3 linked regions of the Oryzias latipes genome follow. The protein of the gene in region 3 purifies or fractionates together with the protein of the main gene of each other region. This does not show direct contact. Links are inferred from orthologs where the notes say so. Each region holds a gene or a part of one and is shown on either strand. Other genes may lie near its edges.

Region 1 (4,380 bases), on a different chromosome or scaffold from region 3:
TTAAGGACAGAGATGGGAGTTACAATTTAAGAAATCAGCTAAACCTCAAAAAGCAGCGCATTCATACTACAAAAAAGAAAACATGCTCATCAATTTGGGGTGTGGATTTATGGAACAGATTGGATGAAGGTTTAAAACAAACCAAAAGTTTACATGCATTCAAGAAAACCTACAGGATGGAACAGAACAAGAAATGATCAATAAAAACAAAAATGCCTCTTCTGCATCCACATTACATTCCTATGTAATGTGGATGCAGAACATGTACAAAACTGTAAATAGAAATACGCAGATCATCAGGTGTTGTAAAAAAGAGGTGGGATCATACAAGATTTCTCTTCAGCCCACTCTTTTTGTTTTATCTATGTTAAACTCTTGTGTTTATTTTCATTTGTGTTTGAAATAAACAAAACTGAATTGAATAGATTGAAATGTAATTATCTGTCTGTATGAAGCTCTGCTGGTGAATCATCCAGAGTGAACTCCAGGAGCTGGGGGAGGGTCCAGTGACCCTGACCAGAAACCAATGGGTTTACCAATGGATGGATGTCTGAATGTGACTTTGAAATGGCAACCCAATTCTTTATTTTCTTGTGCTTTAAAAAGAAGGAACATGGTCAAATGACGTTCTTATATACTATTGTTACGTTTTGGGGATTTTTTTATGCAATGGGTCTCTTGCAGGTGTATCCAAACTAAATTCTAAAAAAATAAAAAGGAAAAAAGATAAAAAGTTAGGATGGCAACTAATTACTAAGGTAACCCAAAAAAATCCTTTTGTGTGTCCCCCTTCCCCATAGTTTTTCTATTTGGGGATTGTTGTGGGCCATTTTGTAGATCTGAAATATTCCAAGGGCTGAACGGTGCCTCACACCAATAAGGCCCCTGGTTCAAGTCCCGGCTGGGGGACCTGAACCAATGTCAATGGGGGGGCCTTTCTGTGTGGAGTTTGCGTGTTCTCCCCGTGCATGTGTCCAAAAACATGGGTTATTGGTCACTCTAAAATTGTCCATATGTGAGCGTGCATGAGTGCATGGTGCGGGATTGTGGCCCTGCGGCAGACTGGAGACCGATCCAGGGTATCCCTGACTTCACCCACAGGTGGCCGGGATAGGCTCCAGCAGCCCCGTGACGCTGAAAGGCATAAAACGGAATAGAATATTATTTCAGAAATCAAAAAAAGATAGTCTGCAACCCACTTTCAACATTTTGCCCATAGCTGCACTGTTGAAAATAAGCTTCTTCTTGTTTGGATCACATATCAAAGATGTTGGAATTTTTTTTTTTCATTTTCAATTTTTTTTTATTTGTTTCTCTTTAATCAACTTTTTCTGTGGTAAACGTTCTTCCTTCATTACGACAGGAAAGCAATAATGTAATATTTTATCTGAACGTTAGGTGCCATCAATGGTGCGGAATTGAATTAAGATGTCCGAGCGTACTTGAACGCCTCTCAGTCCTGTTGTGGAAAACCAGGACAGCTCCTCCCAGTCCCTGACCGAGAGAGAAGGGGGAGACCGCGGGTGGAGGACAGGAAGCTGTTTTCCACAAACATCTGAGTATGGAACACATCTAAATCCTGCATAAATCACTGCCTTTACTCTGCTTCCAGATTTTGAACAATAGCTTTTTGCGATTCCAGCTCTTTTTTGGGATCGGACTGGAAATCTAAACGAACAGCGAGAAGATGTCTCGGGCGGGGATCCAGCCCAGCCAGCAGAAACTGGCCGAAAAGCTCACCATCCTCAACGACAGAGGGATTGGAATGTTGACACGGGTGTACAATATTAAAAAGGTTGGCGCACACACGCACACGGTGGTCACCATTCATCCGGGAAAGCTGCACGCGAACCAGGACAGAATTCTTCCTGAATCCTAACTCCCTTCGGGGATCGCCCGTCAGGATGCGGGCTAACGAACACTTTCTCCGGGCAGTGACTGAAGCCCCAATTTAATTTGTATTCCCCCCGGCTTATTTATGTAAAAATGTTCCTGAAAGGACAAATATGTGAAAGAAATGTCCGCATTCTAGGCATATTTCTTCGCAGCATCCCAGGCTACGGCTCTCCTTAGCAGAGCTAGCTAGCACCGATGGCGTTAGCTTGCGGTAAAGTCGTTCACCGGTTCTTACGTGAAAAATGGTGGCGTGAGAACAAACAAACACGGGCGCCTGTCGCAAACAAGTGGGTAACATTAATCCCCACCATTCAAAGAAAACGGAGGATTTAGTCGAGCCCTGCAGTCCTTAGCGGAGCTAACTGCTACAGCCTCTCCGGTAATGGCGGCGGCGCGGATGCCGGAGCTCCGCTCCAGCGGGGCGTCGTCTCTGAACGAAGCCGAACGAGGAGCACTGAAAGTCGAATGGCGTTCGGTCCCTCACACCGGAGGAGAAACGGAACCCGCAGCGATGTGAACAAATGGGCCGATATTTTACGTCGTTTGTTTGATAGAACAAAATAGAAATATAACCTATTGGAAATGTTTTTAGGGGTAAATTCCAGCTGTTGTTGTCACAATCATCAAACACGGCGAGTGAAATACTTCTATCTGAAAATGTTAATGGAGTTTTCCCTCTGATCCATGTGAGGGAGGTGATTTGTTCACTTCCAAAACTATTAAAACTGTCAGATGACACTTTACCCCAAAGCTTTTCGTGTTTTTAAAGTTAGGGCTATCTTGAATATTTGAGCTGAAATGATTATTTCTTTTCAAACTGGTGTTGGTGATATTTCCATCCAGAAACTTCTGATTTTGAAGGTTTTCTGATGAGGGTTTTCTTTTTCTTTTACTGCAGTCTTATCTTAGAGGAAAGCATATGTTTGTAGTGTTTGATACATCTTCCCTTTTAAAGGAACAAACTGCTGTTTTTTGTCTGAGATGGAAAGGACTTGCTCTGATGTGATCTGCGTTCACATCAGACGGGGTTCACTTCAAATTTGTGTCTGCTGCCCGGCCGTAAATGCAAAAGCATGCACCTATTTACTAGTGGTGTAGCAATTTGTTCTGAAAACTATTCGATTCATATCATAATTTGTGGTTGCTGATCCAATCCATAATTGATATTGGATCATTTTGATCGATCCAGTTCTCTGACCTGAAGTGGATCCGGGAGATCTATAACTAAAACTTCCAGCAGTGAGACTCAGACAGAAATTCCTGCTACTGAACAGTGGAGTTTTCCAGATTCTTCCAGATCATCTAAACTAGAATAAATGTCAAATCCATTCACATGTTAGTTTCCTAAAGTTCCCCTCTGTTGTTTTTCCACATCCAAAGAATCCAAAGGGAACATTCTGAGAACATTCTAGACACTGGATGGTCACATGACTTTATTCAAAGTCTGTCCACACGTTGGACTGGAATGATCAGTTTAGCAGGGGGACACGTCTGGCCCTGCAGGGTTTGAGTCCCTGGTGGTGTAGTGATGGTTTGTTACTTTGGTCCCAGCTCTCTGCAGGTCATCCACCAGGTCCCCAATGTGGGGTTCTGGGATTTTTTCTCACCGTTCTTGTGATCATTGTGACCCCATGGGGTGAGATCTTGGGGGGAGCCCCAGATGGAGGGAGATTATCAGTGGTCTTCCATTTCCTAATAATTGCTCCCACAGTTGATTTCTTCACACCAAGCTGCTTCCTGTTGCAGATTCAGTCTTCCAGCCTGGTGCAGGTCAATAATTTGGTTCCTGGTGTCCTTAGACAGCTCTTTGGCCTTAGTGGAGTTTAGAGTGTGACTGTTTGAGGTTGTGAACAGATGTCTTTATATAGATAACGGCTATGTCAGATTTCCTTCACTACTCACTACATAGTGCACTATATAGTGCGTTCACCATTTTGTTGTGCTGTCCGACTGTACAATTCCAAAATCGAGTGCTCTAGAAATTTCCCAGAAGTCTCTGCAAAAACCAGTGTGCATTGATGCTCACTAGATTGGCGAATATAGACAACAATGCATTGCGTTTGAACAATTTTTGTGAAAAAATTCAGTTTAAATATATATTTAAATAAAACATCAACATTTTCATCCCCAGATCTCAATGGATTTATAAATGATCGTCGCGCTCATATCAGTGAGATTTTCCCTTCATGAAATTGATGATGTCATATTAGATGTTAAGAAAAAAAAAGTATTGAGCATTGTGTCCTAATTGCTTTTAAAGTCCACTTGATAGTCCAGCACTGTCCAGCACTTTGCTTTTTTAGAGGGGCTCTGCTTTCACGGCGCTCTTTCTCAGTGGGGTCATGTCTTCACTAGTGACTTGAGTACCCCTAGTGAGACAGCTGTTACCTGGCACAGCATCTATAATGGAAATATTTCTTTTTTTTTATGAAAATAGAATAGAACTTAATGATCCCTCTCCAGTGAAATGTATGTGACACCACA
Region 2 (4,263 bases), on a different chromosome or scaffold from region 3:
GCAACAAAAATGGTGAGCAATACTGGAGCTATCCATTCATACAGTTTAGATCCAGACTCCAGCTCAGACCAGGAAAACAAAGACGTACGTCTACAGGCTCAAAGGGTTGGAATGGGTACAATTGGATGCATCAGAATGGAGCAGAGCATGTTTGTGGCCCGCCCAACGTATTTTCTATGTAACAAATATGCTCTTTTTTTAAACTGCAATTTTTATTCTGTGTCCCTTATTCACAGTTATTTGAATTAAGAAATACTCAGTGATGCAATTTCAATATTAGTTTTATTTGTCCTCCATCATCAGAAAAATGCCACAAAACAACACCAAAAAATACACTGTTTATTGGAGTTGGTCTCTAAGTTCCACTCCATAGTGAGACTGTAGCATTGTTACAGGTATCAGGGCAAATTAACCCTTGTGCTATCTTAGATGACCCCACCCTTACATTGACCTGTTCTCCCTACCATGACAAAGGTGGATAAAGGTGGAAAGATTTCATGTAATCCATGGACACCAGTGAAGATCACAAATCATTGAAGAAAAAAGGTTCAGAGCACTGTCTAGTGGGTCTAGATGACCCAAATCCCAATGGTAACGTACCTAGGATAGCACATTAAAGGAGTAGACCTGCTGCGGCTGTTACCCTCATGGGCACTGACAGTAGAGTTTAGGGGTGGAGCAAAGGAATCCCAGTCACACAGAACAACCCAGCAGTAAGGCCCCAAGCCAAATTCTGCCACAGGTATCAATAATTATGCAGATATCAGTCTGCTTACAGAAGATAACATATTTTTTTAGAAACAGAAAAGATCATCTTAAAGGTACACTACAGCTACTTGTAATGAAATAAGTGCTCCGCATTTCACCCTGACTAATTATTGTGCACAAGAAGCCTATCAAAAAAGGGTAACACGTAGAAGAAAAAGACCATTCCATAAAATCCATACATTGCTTCTGTTCCACTGATGAGTGAGCTGCTGCCAAGAAGAGGTGAGAGGAAACTATCAGGGATGCCGGGTGCTTTACTTGAAGCTGACAAGAAAAGGAAAAGCATTGACACCTGCTCTCAAATGTTATTACTAATTCTGCATTTTCCCCCTCTTGATCTGTTTGCTTGTTTGTTTTCTTTTCTCTTGGAACAATCGATCGGTTTGGGACTCAGGTATGGCAGGTTTTCCCACTTCGACATTCAGTAATCCCATCTCACCCTCCTCCCTCTGAACAAGTGCCGTCTTATTCTGCCTTCATTCCTGAACGAAGCAGGGTTTTTTCCGTGCGTGTCACAGCAGCCCTTTGGTGTGAGATCACGTCCTTCTCTGCAGCCCAAGCGGCTGTTGTGCCGAGCGCGCACACGCAGGTGGCTGTGCAGACGCAGCGGAGCTTTCCCCTGCGCGCTCAGACTTTCCGCAGTTTTGTCTCACTCGGCGCCAAGGCAGCTCAGGGTTGATTTCATCATCAGGCGCGCGGTAGTCCGCGCTCACGCCTCCCACTTCGCTTCCCAGAGTGATCTGTGTTTGGACGGAGGACCCCATTTGCTCCTGAGGACAGAATGACAGGGGAGCGCACTGACGGAGACGCTGACGAGGTACAGTATGGCTCTCCCCTTTTAAATTAAATTATTTCCCCTTTTTGATATTTGCTTGTTGTTGTTTTATTCTGTTAAACTAGTTATTCTAGTATTTTTAGTTTCCTGCTGTGGCAAGCGCTGCGCTTTAGGAAAAAGCCAATTAACGCAACCAAATCCTGAGCTTTACGCGTCAGATTGCTCTGCTTCATCCAGGAAGAGACTTTAAAAGCGTTTAAAAGTTGGATTTTCAACCTCATTTTTCCACAAATGATCAAAATCATAAAAGCTTTGAGAGGATTCACTTTTACAACATATACTTGCATGTATGAATATTCATATTTTACAAATGTCACCTCTGGTAAAAAAAAAAAAAAAAAAAAAAAAAGATTAGTAGATGATATTCTGCTTGGATGGTGAGATGAAACACTGTTGCTTTTTCACAGAAAATGTTTTGAAGCGTTGCCATGCGTCCACATCCATGTGGAGCCAACTGTATGATAGGTCAGGACAGGAGCACTGTGTGGGTGGTGAGGACCCCTTGCGGCTGAGTGCAGGGGTGTGGTGCTGCGTGTTCAGTGCGCTTAAACCCATCCCTGTTCTCGAGGCAGGCCGGTGACTTGCACTGCAGTCTCGCTCCCTCTCGGCGCGCTGCGCACCACTCCGCCTCCACCACCTCCTCCTCTTCCTCACTTGTTTGCCTCCCTCGGATCTCCACAGGAGTTTCTGCAGTCGCCCTTCATCCGAAAGCAGGGGAACATATACAAGCCAAACAACAAAGACATGGACAACGACAGCGTAAACGAGAAGACGATGGATGATGTCCACACCAAAGAGATAGATCTAGTCAACCGGGACCCTAAACAAATAAACGACGACGTTGTCAAGGTGAGTCAGACCTGCTAATTTCGAACTTTTCAAGTTACTTTTAAAGTTGCAGCTGCAGAATCTTTCAAGACTTTTTGTGACAACAAAAAATAACAGTTGAGAGACTCCTGTGTCACAGACATTTCGGCCACTTTTTGCTTTTAAAGTCCAAGAATGTGATCAAAAACTGTCCAAGTGTTAAAATCTGGTTTGGTGTTTTCTGCGCCTGTGCGTCATCGTGCGCTCCCGGGGCTCAGACGCTGCTGCGCGCTGCCTCTCCAGAGCGGCCTCTTACTTTCTTTCCCCCTATTAGGAAGGAACTTTGCAGATGGAGTTGTGCTTTGCGCAGGCTGCACAGCCCATCTGCACGCACGGATTAAAAACGTGACCATCGGAACAAAGGAAACAGTACGAATTTCCTGTTTTTGGGACTCACGTTTCCCACAGTGGTTGCCTTGAAACCCTGAATTCTTTCCATAAGGGACATGCGCACAGAGGTTATGAGAGGGAGAGCTGGAAGCCACCTGAGGCGCTATGATACTGGAGGGGAGCGTCAGCTGTCTGTCACTCTCCACTCCAGCTGAGGCGGGCTTTCACATCAGAGCGGGGTCAAACAGCCCCCTGCATGAGAAGGATGGGTCAGGCCTCTGAAATGCCTGAACTGCGCTGTTAAAACAGGGAAACACCCAAGTAGCTGCTTAGTCAGAGGGGGATCCCTCACCACTCCCAGTGTTCTGATCTCCCCCCTTTCACCTGTCAGCATTCCAGCCAGAGGATTTAAATCTGAAGACATGTATGAATCGCTAAACCAACCGCCAAACTCATAAACAGTTCTTCCTCTCATGTTATTTCTGGAATTCCTCCACAAAATGATTCGATTTTATCAGATTCAGCTGATATTTCACTCCACGGGAACATTATCTGCAGTGTAACGTACAAATGTTGCCCCTTGGAAACACCCAGTCACTAGCATGAGACAAAGTGGGCACTAAATGCAGAAGTGAGTGAATTCAATAATGACCAACACATCCTTTCTTATTACACTGCACAGACTTGGCAAAGCGCTTAAGATTTCCTGTTTCTGTCTCTTCTTCACCGCTCTGCATCCTCCTGCTCTCAGTTGTGACGGTGAGTCAGACTCTCCCTGCGGTCAGGGCAGATTGAGGCTTTATGATCAAGTCAACTGACCGCCCTCAAAGTTAGTTTTCATCACATGGTCATGGACTGTAAACAAGAAACTTGTGTAATGAATTCCAGTTTCCATGATAACTTCTGAAAAGGTTTAAGCTATTCTTAAATCTGTGCTACGTTTAAGACCCACTCCATTGAAAATGGTGTTTTTGTTGTTTTTAACATGTTCTTGTGGTAATTTTCTGATGATGGAGGACTTATATAAAGAAAATGAAACTCAAAAACGCCATTTCTGAGTGTGTCTTTACTGAAATTGTTGTGATTCAGGAGCATAGAAAAAACTCTGAAAAAGATCGCATTGGTTGCATAGAAAATATGCTGGGTGTGCCACAAGCTCCCCGCTTTGCTCCATTCTGATGCATCCACTTGTAAACAGATCCATTAATGGTTTGTTTTTTCTGGTTTGAGCTGATATTTGGCTCAAAACTGCACGGCTGGATAGATGGCACAGATCAGAGTGGGTCTATAAGTAGAGCAGTCGTGTCTTTTCCGTTGATGGAAGCAGCTGGTTGGTATGAAAGAGCTAAATCCAGTCCGAACAGGGAATCCCTTCTGCGGTCATCCACTGTGTAATCAGCCACGCCGTCACACAGCTCCACACACATATGACAAGCAGCACACATCCTGAGTGCATGGATGCT
Region 3 (4,247 bases):
GACCTGTAAAAAGACAAAAACGTCACATTTTCCATTTTGCACATTCAAAGGACAAGGAAAAAAGCTGATATACTACATTTCTGTGGTATAAAAGTATCAATTATTGCTAATATTTCATATTTAAGATTGAAAAAATCTATTTTGTTGTTTCCCCTGACTGATTACACATTACAGACTACTGTTTTTTATTTTAGATCAGATACAAACACTAAATATGGGTGAATATGAACTTGTTTCACTATTGATCAAATGTCAGTAAATTATTTTTCCGATTAACAGATGATTTTCATGAACCCAGTTTTATGGGACAGCACGTAGTAGAGATTATATATCAATTTAACCTGGGATTAACTGACTATAAGAACAAAGGTTCCCTATCGAGGCCCCCCAACAGCTGTTGTTGGCATGGTGACAAGCTCACCGTGACCGTCAGTCTGAAAATAGTGTGTAAACATTTACCTGTAATCTGACGTTAAACACCATTGAGGCTACCAAGTAAAAGTAGGGGAATCGTATTCTCAGCCGCCATGCGAGATCAAAAAATATCAACAAAGTCCTCGTCAAGCCTTTGGAGAATAGTCCGTAAGTCCGACCAGCGGAGCCCGAAAACCGGAGCACCAGATACGAAAGACTCGCCATAAAAGCCCAACCCTGAGCGCTGTGTTCTTGGCTTACAAAGGCAACAGGCAAGGGGACGCTACAATGGCTGCAAGTGTTGGATGAAGCTCCATTCTTCTATCTTTCACCCTCAACGAGCTCCGTCTTTTGCTGCCGTTGTACTGGCATCTACTCCACCCTGTTAGTTTTCTACCGAGGACAGACATCGCTGCGACACACGGAAGTGCAGTAAAACCAGGATTAAATAAAACCCCGAGTAAAGACTGAAAGGACTTCCAGATCTGGGTGGTGGCTAAGGAAAAAAAAAACACGTCCTAGACACAACTACTATGGTTCTCATAAAACTAAACAAACAGAAACATAGAAGAGGTTTTTTGAGTTACTAAATATGTATATATGTTGTTTTTGCACCATTACAAAACCAGGTAAATTGGTTTGTTTTCCAGAAGTTCACTACACAAAAAATCTTGAACTGAAGCAAAGTACTACAGACTTTTTGGAAATACAATGACCAACTAATCATTGATTGTGTTACATTTTTGAAGCTAAATATCTTTGTCGTATTAGAATAGGCACACATTGACTTTTTTTTTCTTTTACTACTTTATTTTTTAATACAGTGCATGTTTGCTGGTATGGTATAATTGAATTTATCGTGGTGTAGGGGTGGGAGAGCAAGCTATCCTTCCATCTCCAAAAAAACTTTTTCAGCCTGAAAGGCATAATTCAGGGAAATTAAACAACACACCAAAAATTCCATTGTAATCGTAAATGAACCGTAGACGCGTCAAAACTGACGTCAGTTCCACCCTAGGTGTCACACCGTAAATATTCCGTCTTCGACGATTTCTTTTATTTTGTTTTCATTAAACCAAAATGTAATATTTTAGTTTTCAAATGTTATTTATATATAACTTTAAGCTTTATATTTAAGACCAGAGTAGCTGACCCTTTTTTTTACTACTAGTTTGAGGCTATCTTTTCTTTGGTTAAGGTGTCTGTGGGCGTGCGCCGGATGCCCTATCTTGTAGAGCTGGCTTCATTTTTTTTTCTCTTTAGCTATAGGGGTGGTGGCCGCTGTTTTGCTCCATAACTCATAGAGCAGCTCACGAAAGCATGGGAATGTTGCCAGGGAATTTCTGAGTTTAGTTGACCTAAAGTCCGAATTGAGTCGCCGCAACTTTATTTTCTAACAAGCCGTTCTCCGTTTAGAAAGTTTTGAGTTAGCGCGGTCGACTGTTAGCAAAGACTGTTGGGTAGTTTCACTTGAGAGGAGTTGCGGACAAAGGACAAGCTATCCGAGCTAACGTTAACTGGCTCTGGGCTAACTTAGCATTCCTGTAGCTGCGGCGCAATGCAGGCCATAAAGTGTGTCGTTGTTGGAGACGGGTAAGTTGAACCTAACTAAACTCACTGTGATATTTAACATTTAATCGACAGTTTTGGTATCAAACCCTGAAACCGCCAGTGATGTCGAAAAGTTGTCATTCGACATAAATGTTGCGTCTTATTTTTGGAGTTGTAAAGTTAGCCAAGTTATCGGTTAAATATTGGACTTTCAAGTTCTTTTCTTTTTTTTTCGAAATGTACAACATTTTGTATTGCATTTGTTTTTCCCCTGATATTACCGTTCTGGATCCAATGTTCCAGATTTTTTTATTTATTTACGCCAAAATCAGTGAATAGAGTTAGATTGATCTTAGATTTGTTTTGAAGTTATTTTTGAACAAAATGGGCAAAAATTATATGTACTTTTTCGAAGAGTTGAAATTTGTTTCTTCTTCTGTTGTATTGACACGGGCGTGTTTTTGTGTTACACAATAGTTAAATTAGTAGGTTTAGTTTGCAATATTTTAAAGACAGGATTGTCAATGAGCTAATATTGAAAGTCTGACTGATGTGTAATATGCTAGAGGTAAACACACTTGTAACGTCTTGTCGAGGGTGCGGCTGGTCCCACCGCAGCGGAGTCGTCCCTCGACCTCTCCGACTTTTGTTTTGTTTTCCGTTCCGACTTGAAGAAACTCTAAGGCACCAGTTCTCTTTAAAGTTTCAAAAGTTTAAAATATCTGCTTACTCATCAACTAGCCTGGAAGAGAAAAAAAAACCTTATTTCCTGAAATCAGTGCACTCATTCTATCAGGAGTGCTTCAATAAAACTGACATTACCTACGAGATGATAATAAATGATTAACTGGCAATTATTGATTTTTGATATTGGATTATTTTGATCCTGCTTTTATCCTACGGATGATAATGTGACTCTCAGACTTCCTCCTTTCAGTTTGTTAAAAACCAAACTTTGCGTAGTGTCCACATTTAACTTGAAACTATATTTTTAATGGTTGTAATTATTTCAAGTAACTTTGATGTTATTAAATAAAATGCTTGGACTGTTTTTAGCTTTGTAAATGTAAAATAATCGAACAACTTAAGCCTGACTTTAATGACAGCTTGTATATGTTTTATTTTCCTGAATTCTGAACATAACATTTCTCTTATTCAGTGCTGTGGGTAAGACATGTCTACTCATCAGCTACACCACCAATGCCTTTCCAGGAGAGTACATCCCCACAGTGTGAGTGTTTATTTATTCATAATGGCTAAGCTGTCTGTCATTCTTCTTCTGGACAGTTGTTGCTTAACTGTGTCTTTGTTTCATTTCTTCAACTGGTCTTATGGGGGAATATTAGTTTCCTTGTACATAAGAAGTCACTTTCTTTTTTAACAGGCAGCTGTTTGGGTTCAGAGAAGCATTTGTTATGTAAAATTACCAGAAGTGCAACCAGCTAGTTTATTTTCTTAGTTGTGGGATCTGTGGCTTTTTGGGAATTTGTCACTCAAAACACTTTGGTTCATTCTGATTATTTATAAATGTACATTCTGCTTTTATTCTGATTCAAGAACAAGCTGAAAACATGTACTGCTGATGAACAAGGCTTTGATTTTTGACCCCCAAAAAACCTGTTTGATTTATCTAATGATCATAGAAATTCAGAAATATGTAGCAAGGCTTGAATGACATAACTGAGTTTTTATGAATGCTTGATTCTCACAGGTTTGATAACTACTCTGCCAATGTTATGGTGGATGGGAAGCCGGTGAACCTGGGCCTTTGGGATACAGCTGGACAAGAAGACTACGACAGACTCCGCCCACTTTCTTACCCACAGACGGTACAATGACAAAAATAGTCAGACAAGGTGTTATTTAGTTGATAACTTTTATAAATAATTAATTGGGAGCATTTGTGGTATTCAAATGTAGAAGAGGGTTTTAAAGAAAGTTAAACAGACCACCTTAGCGATAGGTTATTTATTTTTATTTATTTTTTGCTCAACAGGAAATGAATTTCATGGACTCTGAACCTTTTTTGTCTTTGTCTTACAGGATGTGTTCCTCATCTGCTTCTCTCTTGTGAGTCCGGCCTCATTTGAAAACGTCCGTGCCAAGGTTAGTGGTGCCTGAGCAAAAAACACTAATAATACAGATGTGAACACGTTGACTTTTTTAATGTTGGTAATTAAAATACAGACCTGTGTTTTTTCATATACAGTTTATTTTTATTTTTTTGTAAAAAAAAAAAAAGTGTATTTAAAGAACAATTTCAAGAGATGTGTACTATTGAT

The links. Proteins that work in one complex are often made in the same cells at the same time.
Region 1: the proteins of ras-related C3 botulinum toxin substrate 1 (region 3) and nckap1 purify together in Homo sapiens (pull-down; 4 studies listed by BioGRID and IntAct, with this or other methods). This does not show direct contact. The link is inferred for Oryzias latipes from reciprocal best matches to the Homo sapiens genes RAC1 and NCKAP1.
Region 2: the proteins of ras-related C3 botulinum toxin substrate 1 (region 3) and caveolin-1 purify together in Homo sapiens (affinity purification with western blotting; 4 studies listed by BioGRID and IntAct, with this or other methods). This does not show direct contact. The link is inferred for Oryzias latipes from reciprocal best matches to the Homo sapiens genes RAC1 and CAV1.

The regions. Positions count from the first base shown.
Region 1 is NC_019873.2:827,960-832,339, reverse strand, and holds the start of nckap1 (nck-associated protein 1), read left to right. Parts: upstream 1-1,438; 5' UTR 1,439-1,559; intron 1,560-1,642; 5' UTR 1,643-1,687; coding exon 1,688-1,795; intron 1,796-4,380. UniProt on the Homo sapiens protein: Part of the WAVE complex that regulates lamellipodia formation. The WAVE complex regulates actin filament reorganization via its interaction with the Arp2/3 complex. Actin remodeling activity is regulated by RAC1.
Region 2 is NC_019864.2:2,997,839-3,002,101, forward strand, and holds the start of caveolin-1, read left to right. Parts: upstream 1-1,321; 5' UTR 1,322-1,549; coding exon 1,550-1,585; intron 1,586-2,284; coding exon 2,285-2,452; intron 2,453-4,263. UniProt on the Homo sapiens protein: May act as a scaffolding protein within caveolar membranes. Forms a stable heterooligomeric complex with CAV2 that targets to lipid rafts and drives caveolae formation. Mediates the recruitment of CAVIN proteins (CAVIN1/2/3/4) to the caveolae.
Region 3 is NC_019866.2:11,732,815-11,737,061, reverse strand, and holds the start of ras-related C3 botulinum toxin substrate 1, read left to right. Parts: upstream 1-1,424; 5' UTR 1,425-1,972; coding exon 1,973-2,007; intron 2,008-3,124; coding exon 3,125-3,196; intron 3,197-3,676; coding exon 3,677-3,794; intron 3,795-4,008; coding exon 4,009-4,071; intron 4,072-4,247. UniProt on the Homo sapiens protein: Plasma membrane-associated small GTPase which cycles between active GTP-bound and inactive GDP-bound states.